Saccharomyces cerevisiae S288C: one gene and its partner. Changing the gene in region 1 together with any one later gene gives a genetic interaction. Each region holds a gene or a part of one and is shown on either strand. Other genes may lie near its edges. The genes, in order: AVT4 and AVT7.

Region 1 (4,746 bases):
GATATTCGTCAACAAGCTCTAAAATTGACTGCCAATTCTATGTATGGTTGTTTGGGTTATGTTAACAGTAGATTTTACGCAAAGCCGCTCGCCATGTTAGTCACTAATAAGGGTCGTGAGATTTTAATGAATACAAGACAACTAGCTGAAAGTATGAATCTTCTTGTAGTTTATGGTGATACAGATTCGGTCATGATAGATACCGGTTGTGATAATTATGCGGATGCAATTAAAATTGGCTTGGGATTTAAAAGGCTAGTAAATGAGCGCTATAGATTATTGGAGATTGATATTGATAATGTTTTTAAGAAGTTACTATTACATGCCAAGAAAAAGTACGCTGCTTTGACTGTAAATTTGGACAAAAATGGTAATGGAACTACTGTTCTAGAAGTTAAAGGGTTGGACATGAAGCGTCGTGAATTTTGTCCACTTTCGAGGGACGTTTCTATACATGTTTTAAACACCATCCTGTCAGATAAGGACCCAGAAGAAGCATTGCAAGAAGTGTATGATTACTTAGAAGACATCAGAATAAAAGTGGAAACCAATAACATTAGAATTGATAAATATAAGATCAATATGAAGCTTTCAAAAGATCCCAAGGCCTACCCAGGTGGTAAAAACATGCCTGCAGTCCAAGTAGCTCTAAGAATGCGTAAGGCTGGTAGAGTTGTTAAAGCTGGCTCTGTCATCACTTTTGTGATCACAAAGCAGGATGAAATAGACAATGCAGCGGATACGCCGGCTCTTTCTGTGGCTGAACGTGCCCATGCATTGAATGAGGTAATGATTAAAAGTAACAATTTGATACCTGATCCACAATATTATCTCGAGAAACAAATATTCGCGCCGGTAGAAAGGTTGTTAGAAAGAATTGATAGCTTCAACGTGGTGCGTTTGAGTGAAGCGCTTGGTTTAGATAGTAAAAAGTATTTTAGAAGAGAGGGCGGTAATAACAATGGAGAAGATATTAATAATTTGCAACCCTTAGAAACAACAATTACAGACGTTGAAAGGTTTAAGGATACTGTAACATTAGAATTAAGTTGCCCATCATGCGATAAAAGGTTTCCATTTGGTGGTATTGTATCTTCAAATTACTATCGCGTGTCATATAATGGTTTACAGTGCAAGCATTGTGAGCAACTTTTTACTCCTCTTCAATTAACTAGCCAAATAGAGCATTCTATAAGGGCACACATTTCCTTATATTACGCAGGGTGGTTACAGTGTGATGACAGCACATGCGGTATAGTTACAAGACAAGTCTCCGTTTTTGGTAAGCGTTGTTTGAATGACGGCTGCACGGGTGTCATGAGATACAAATACAGTGACAAGCAATTGTACAATCAACTTTTATATTTCGATTCTTTATTCGATTGTGAAAAAAATAAAAAGCAAGAATTGAAGCCAATATATCTACCCGATGATCTCGACTACCCCAAGGAACAGCTGACAGAATCATCTATTAAGGCTTTAACAGAACAAAACAGAGAACTAATGGAAACCGGCCGGAGCGTTGTTCAAAAATATTTGAACGATTGTGGACGTCGCTACGTTGATATGACTAGCATATTTGATTTCATGCTAAATTAGGTAAGTATTTTGTATGTGTTGTGTGATCTCATGAATATTCTATATAGTAAGAAAAGAATACAACTGTACATACGCATCCTACTAGATACCTAATGTACAGACATCGGAAGGAGCGCTAGGAAGCTTTTATTATTGAAGGTTTTCAGCGATATTCTGAGAATGTTTTTTCGGCTCTGGTGATCAGTTCTCACATGCATCATCCTTTAATAAACCCATGCATTAAGATTCGCCTTATCAGCAAGATCAGATAAGCGAACAGCTTCATCAATGAAATAGAATGCTTAAATCTTGTGAAGCACTGTCATAAGCCAGTTTGATAAAAGCAATACCCACAATATAGTTGGATATCATTTACCTTGATCTGCTCTTGCTTTCGAGGTGACATAGCATTTTTAGCCATCTGATTCCTTAGGTTCAAAGGCACTCATCATTCCTCCTCTAAAACACATTTCAACGTCATTCATAATCTGGAATCAACATAACAATATCCTAGAACACATCATCAATGGTCACTAACAATGGAGATGGTGAGCACCTTGGGATCCGAAGAAACGGAAATTTAAGGCATCCTTCCAATAATATGAAAATTCCCAGAAGGGCTCAATCAACAGTTCTCAATTCAAACCCATTTTATAGTAGGAAGTATTCTATGTCTACCTTAACGCCGAGGGATATATGTCGAAGCGTTGATTCTAGAGTATTTGTGGATATGTCTTCTCCCAATTTTCAGACTCTGGAGGATCCCCACAGAGATGAGATTATAAACAGTGTACGGCTTAACTACTTGAACAGTAGCAAAAGAAGTTCCGTCTCTCATGGAAATGAAGCAATCCCTAGGGTTAATCCGACTAAGAATTCTTCAGCAAGTACCATAGCTGCAGCAAATGTTGATAGTGATGACGATGAGACTAACCTGAGTAGCGCTGGAGGCGACATAACGCATGATATTTACAAGTTGGTTAAAGCAGAGGATCCTAAACGGCTCAGACGCCCTCGGTCCATGGAAAATGTAACACCTAAAATTGAGCACCATACTAAATTGTCATCAGCAAGTGGTTTAAATGTCCCCGGTGGCTTCAGAAGGGAATTTATTGTCAACAAAAAAAGGCAAGAACATCAATTAAATGATTCCGCTAGCTCAGACTTCACTTCGCATGAAAGCGATTCGATTAACCAGTCATCTCCATCTTCTAACCAAGATATCGATAAGGTCCCCTTTTTAACAAGAAACTTTTTGGAATTTCTATACGTGTTTGGACATTTTGCTGGTGAATCCTTCGAGGATGATTTTATCCCTGATAGCTCAAACATGATGATACGCGGAGAAGATGAAAGGAGTGCATTGCTGTCTCGGCCTGACCATATGAAAGTATTACCTTCAGCCAAAGGTACGACTTCGACAAAGAAGGTTTTTTTGATATTGCTTAAATCTTTCATTGGAACTGGCGTTTTATTTTTACCTAATGCCTTTCATAATGGTGGTTTGTTTTTCTCAGTAAGTATGCTGGCCTTTTTTGGAATTTATTCATACTGGTGTTACTACATATTGGTGCAGGCCAAATCTTCATGCGGTGTATCCTCCTTTGGTGATATTGGTTTAAAACTGTATGGACCTTGGATGAGAATAATAATTCTTTTCTCCCTAGTAATAACTCAAGTTGGATTCTCTGGAGCTTATATGATATTTACTGCAAAAAATTTACAAGCTTTTCTTGATAACGTATTCCATGTGGGCGTCCTACCTTTATCTTACCTGATGGTCTTTCAAACGATCATTTTTATTCCACTTTCGTTTATTAGAAACATTTCGAAATTGTCACTACCATCTTTACTAGCAAATTTTTTCATCATGGCTGGTTTAGTCATTGTCATTATTTTTACAGCCAAAAGGTTGTTTTTTGACCTGATGGGGACCCCAGCAATGGGTGTCGTCTATGGCTTAAATGCAGACCGTTGGACGCTGTTTATCGGGACGGCAATATTTGCTTTCGAAGGAATCGGGTTAATTATTCCTGTTCAAGACTCAATGAGAAATCCTGAAAAATTTCCTTTAGTACTTGCTTTGGTGATTCTAACGGCAACCATACTTTTCATTTCCATAGCTACATTGGGATATTTGGCATACGGCTCAAATGTTCAAACGGTTATACTGTTGAACTTACCTCAAAGTAACATTTTTGTAAACTTAATCCAGCTGTTCTATTCCATCGCAATTATGTTGTCCACACCTTTGCAGTTGTTTCCAGCTATTAAAATTATTGAAAATAAGTTTTTTCCAAAGTTCACTAAAATATATGTCAAGCACGATGATCTAACAACAAGAGTCGAATTACGTCCTAATTCAGGAAAGCTGAACTGGAAAATTAAATGGCTGAAGAACTTTATTCGTTCTATAATCGTAATCATTGTTGTATCAATTGCTTACTTTGGGTCTGATAATTTAGACAAGTTCGTTTCAGTTATAGGATCCCTCGCCTGTATTCCTTTGGTATATATATACCCATCGATGCTGCATTTACGGGGCAATAGCCTTCCAGAGACTAAAGGGGAATTTTGGAGATTCAAACCAATGTTAGATACCATTTTAATTTTCTTCGGTATTGCAAGCATGCTTTATACGTCTTACCAGAGTATATTCGGTGTCTAGACGATATATGTTGTTGCTTCATAAAGAATTTATTTGGAATCGAGGAACACTATTTTGCCATTGTCGCCATTGACAGCTTGCAGTTGCAAACGTCTTCTTAATTCACTTTATATAAACAAGGACCGCCAGGTCACAGTATTATTCGCACGAAATTATGTAGTAGGTAAAAAACACTAAAAGCATTACCCCTATATTGTTATTTAATGTTCCATCTACGATTAGTAGGTGGTGAGCATGTCTGAATATACACAATTTCATATTTATTATCAAGTTCAAGATTGCCAGAATTTTATTTTTTTTTCCAATCTGCGAATAAGCTTGATCCGATTACTCCGCTTAATGCCCCGACAACCTGAGAACTTTTAAACATATCAAGGAGTAGAGTGGGATTAATGACAATGTGATAGTTTCATAATTAAAGTAAGCAGTCAAAGACAGAAGCAGCACACCATTTACCAATACAGCTTCCAAAATGGTAAATTTTTATGATGACGTGGATG
Region 2 (3,992 bases), on another chromosome or scaffold:
TTTTTGTGACATCTCGTATGATCCCTTTTTCGAGATGGCCAAACATAACAAGAAATATGGGTTTACCGTACTTATAACTGAACTGTACTGGACTGTCCCCAACTTGTTCAGAACAACCAAAAGCTTTATAAAAAAAACGGCAGGTTTAAAGGAAAATCTCGGCACGTTGTGGAAATTATTTACATTTAATTATAATATTCTAGATACAGATGATGAAGAAATTTCTAGGTGGGTCAATTTTCCCTGGGATGCAAAGCCAAAGTTGACAGAAAAGTTGATGGTAGACTTTTTGCTAGAGAATCATGGTCAAGTCAATAATGAGGAAGATTTGGAAGGTATACAATATCTCGTTGAAAGGGCCCGCTCTAAGGTGCCAATGCTAGAGGATTCCCTTGAAGGGGAAGATTACAATTTGTGTCATTTTTGGAGTAACTTTGAAATTGCCCGCGTTGATTTATTCGACAATGAGATCTATAACGCCTATTTTAAATTTTTGGAAGAGTCTGGAGGTTTCTGGACTGAAAGGTGGGGTGACGCGCCAATTCATTCAATTGGGTTGGGAATGACCTTGGATCTAGAAGACGTTCATTATTTCAGAGACATTGGTTATAGACACTCATCGCTGCAGCATTGTCCGAAGAATGCCTTACAAAGCCAAGAAAATCTCAACACTTTCGATGAAGGTTATAACTTCGGATGTGGATGTCGATGCGTGTGCCCCAAGAAAGGTGAAGACATCGAAGACCACTCCACCCCTTGCATGGATATTTTTTTTGAATTGCTTCACGGCAGGGAATATGAGAAGGAATTCCCTGGTTGTTACAAGCCCTCCATAAAGGACAAAGACGTGATTGAAGAGATCAGAAGAGAAAATTTTAGAGTAATTGAATAGATACAGTGTTTTCTATACATTTATACGTATGAACAAAATTATAAAAGAGTCTACCAACTTCTCCAGATATCTACGAACTGGCGGTGTACTCAACAGTCTTCGGACCACATCTAAGTTTGTTTACATTAATAACAATTCATATTTAACTCATGGAGGTTTTGATGGCAATGTAGCTACTATTTTCAATATTTCAGAATTCAATTACATCAATTCTTCGGCCAAGGGGTCACTTCTAACTTATAAAAGCATTACCTTCTTTTGTCCAAGATATTTCAAGAAACGGCCTTTAGGGAGACATGCGAAGGGAAAAGGCAAATCTGACGAAAAGATTCTATAAACTACGATTTCCAATATACTTAACACACAAGAAATGTCTGCTAAACCCGCTACTGACGATGCCAAAGATGAACTTCTATCACCATTTCGCCGGCTATATGCATTGACAAGGACACCTTATCCTGCGCTCGCAAACGCAGCACTATTAGCATCCACTCCGGTGCTATCCCCAAGCTTTAAAGTGCCTCCAACGCAATCTCCTGCCCTCTCGATACCAATGTCTAGGGTATTCTCTAAATCTTCTACTGCCAGAATCGGTATAACTACTAAAACCGCCCTTTTCTTTTCTACAATGCAAGCTATAGGTGCATACATGATCTATGACAACGACTTGGAAAATGGGGCTGGCTTCATTGCTACATGGTCCGCCTTATATTTGATTGTAGGGGGCAAGAAGTCCTTTAGTGCGTTAAGATATGGAAGAACTTGGCCGTTGGTGCTATCCTCGGTTTCATTGGCCAACGCAGTCCTTTATGGCCAACGGTTCCTTGCTACCGGATTCCAGTGATGCTTACATCTATTAATGTCTTAATATTTAATTTTGTATCCTCTGTATTATCTGTATGAACCACGTGACTTAACATGAATGGATTTGCTTCCACATCTTTCACCTCTTATCATACGTTCATAACTTCTTCATCCGAAGTCAGATTTGACCCTCAAATAGATAAGACGCCAAGAACAAGCGTCAACGGAAAGGCGAATTCTACAATCAGGACATAGCATCAAAGAGAAAAGGAATTCTAAGGTATGGAGGCTACATCAAGTGCTCTTTCGTCTACGGCGAATCTCGTTAAGACAATAGTTGGCGCTGGTACACTTGCCATTCCGTACAGTTTTAAAAGCGATGGTGTTCTGGTAGGGGTTATTCTTACATTATTGGCGGCGGTAACATCCGGTCTGGGTCTCTTTGTGCTATCGAAATGTTCCAAGACCTTAATTAATCCAAGAAACTCTTCTTTCTTCACATTATGCATGCTCACCTATCCCACTTTGGCCCCAATTTTTGATTTGGCAATGATAGTTCAATGCTTTGGTGTGGGCTTAAGTTACTTAGTTCTTATTGGTGATCTCTTTCCAGGACTGTTTGGTGGTGAAAGAAATTATTGGATAATTGCATCAGCTGTAATCATCATTCCCCTATGTTTAGTGAAGAAACTAGATCAATTGAAGTATTCTAGTATTCTAGGTCTTTTCGCGCTAGCATACATATCAATTCTGGTGTTCAGTCATTTTGTGTTTGAGCTGGGAAAGGGTGAATTAACAAATATATTAAGAAATGACATATGCTGGTGGAAAATTCACGACTTTAAAGGATTATTATCAACTTTTAGCATTATAATTTTTGCTTTTACGGGATCAATGAACCTATTCCCCATGATAAATGAATTAAAAGACAACAGCATGGAAAATATCACTTTCGTTATCAATAATTCGATATCCTTATCAACAGCACTATTTTTGATCGTTGGTTTATCAGGATATTTAACCTTCGGTAATGAAACCTTGGGTAATTTAATGTTGAACTACGATCCTAACTCAATTTGGATAGTAATTGGCAAATTCTGTCTTGGCTCAATGTTAATTCTTTCCTTCCCGCTTCTCTTTCATCCGCTGCGCATAGCAGTTAACAATGTCATCATCTGGATTGAGATCACTTATGGTGGGGCAAATCCCGAAGAGGACCCACAAGTTTCGGAATACACTCGTGCTTCCAACCTAAGACCAATTAGCATGACTGTGGAAGATCCAGCCCAGCCCAGTGATGCACTAGACGCAACTTCTTATAACGAGCAAGAATGTTTACTACCTAACGGGAACTTTGATAATGGTTCAATTGAAAGTCAAGAGAACAATAATGATGAAAGAGGGACTATGGCGGTCGCCGGGGATAACGAGCATCATGCGCCATTTGTTAAGTCTAGATTTTACTGGATTACTGCATTATTACTAATAAGCATGTATACCTTGGCGTTGTCTGTCCAGTCATTTGCACTGGTTCTTTCATTTGTAGGGGCTACAGGTTCAACGTCTATTTCATTCACTTTACCTGGATTATTAGGTTACAAATTAATAGGCTTGGATTCTTTGGCTATTGGGAAGATGATTCCACCAAAAGATAGATTTTACAAAAGGTGCAGCTTATTGCTAGTCTTCTACGGACTATCTGTGATGTTTTTGTCATTGTATGTAACTGTATTCAACCGTTCAGATGAAGCCTAAATGGACCAATAGTCATGCAAGAGAAGTATAAAACAGTATATAGTAAATAGTAAATAGAATCAGAGACAGCAGACTCAAAGTTTTATGCTTAACGCGATCATCGACTAGTTTAATACTTTATTCTATGGCACTTACAAAAAGGTATTACCCTGCTAAACAATAAAGATCCCTGAAAAAATGGAGCAGGCTCAGAGAATGTGACTTCATGCGCTTTAGTGGTAAAAATACTGCCTAAATAGTCCCTAAAAAAAAAAGAATAAAAAATAACTCCGAAGCGGGGAGTCGAACCCCGGTCTCCACGGTGAGAACGTGATGTGATAGCCGTTACACTACATCGGATTTGATTAGCTTGATTTGAATAGAAAAACATGTTACCATATCAGTAAATATGAATGATCTTTATTTATATATATATGTCCGGAAAATTGTAGGAATAAAAACCTGTTGGAGTAAAAATCAACCATCATCTATCAACTAGTAGTTACACTATCAATATATTATCATATACGGTGTTAAATGGTGACGCAAGTTATGAGAAGCT

The links.
Region 2: of AVT4 (region 1) and AVT7, changing one enhances a phenotype caused by changing the other (phenotypic enhancement), as found in Saccharomyces cerevisiae (one study listed by BioGRID).

The regions. Positions count from the first base shown.
Region 1 is NC_001146.8:432,895-437,640, forward strand, and holds AVT4 (Avt4p), read left to right. Parts: upstream 1-2,104; coding exon 2,105-4,246; downstream 4,247-4,746. Other genes in the region: DNA-directed DNA polymerase alpha catalytic subunit POL1, read left to right, coding at 1-1,599; MIC27 (Mic27p), read left to right, coding at 4,719-4,746. UniProt on the Saccharomyces cerevisiae protein: Involved in amino acid efflux from the vacuole to the cytoplasm. Capable of transporting large neutral amino acids including tyrosine, glutamine, asparagine, isoleucine and leucine.
Region 2 is NC_001141.2:197,390-201,381, reverse strand, and holds AVT7 (Avt7p), read left to right. Parts: upstream 1-1,978; coding exon 1,979-3,451; downstream 3,452-3,992. Other genes in the region: KTR7 (putative mannosyltransferase), read left to right, coding at 1-892; YIL086C (uncharacterized protein), read left to right, coding at 921-1,229; AIM19 (Aim19p), read left to right, coding at 1,263-1,736. UniProt on the Saccharomyces cerevisiae protein: Probable amino acid transporter of unknown specificity.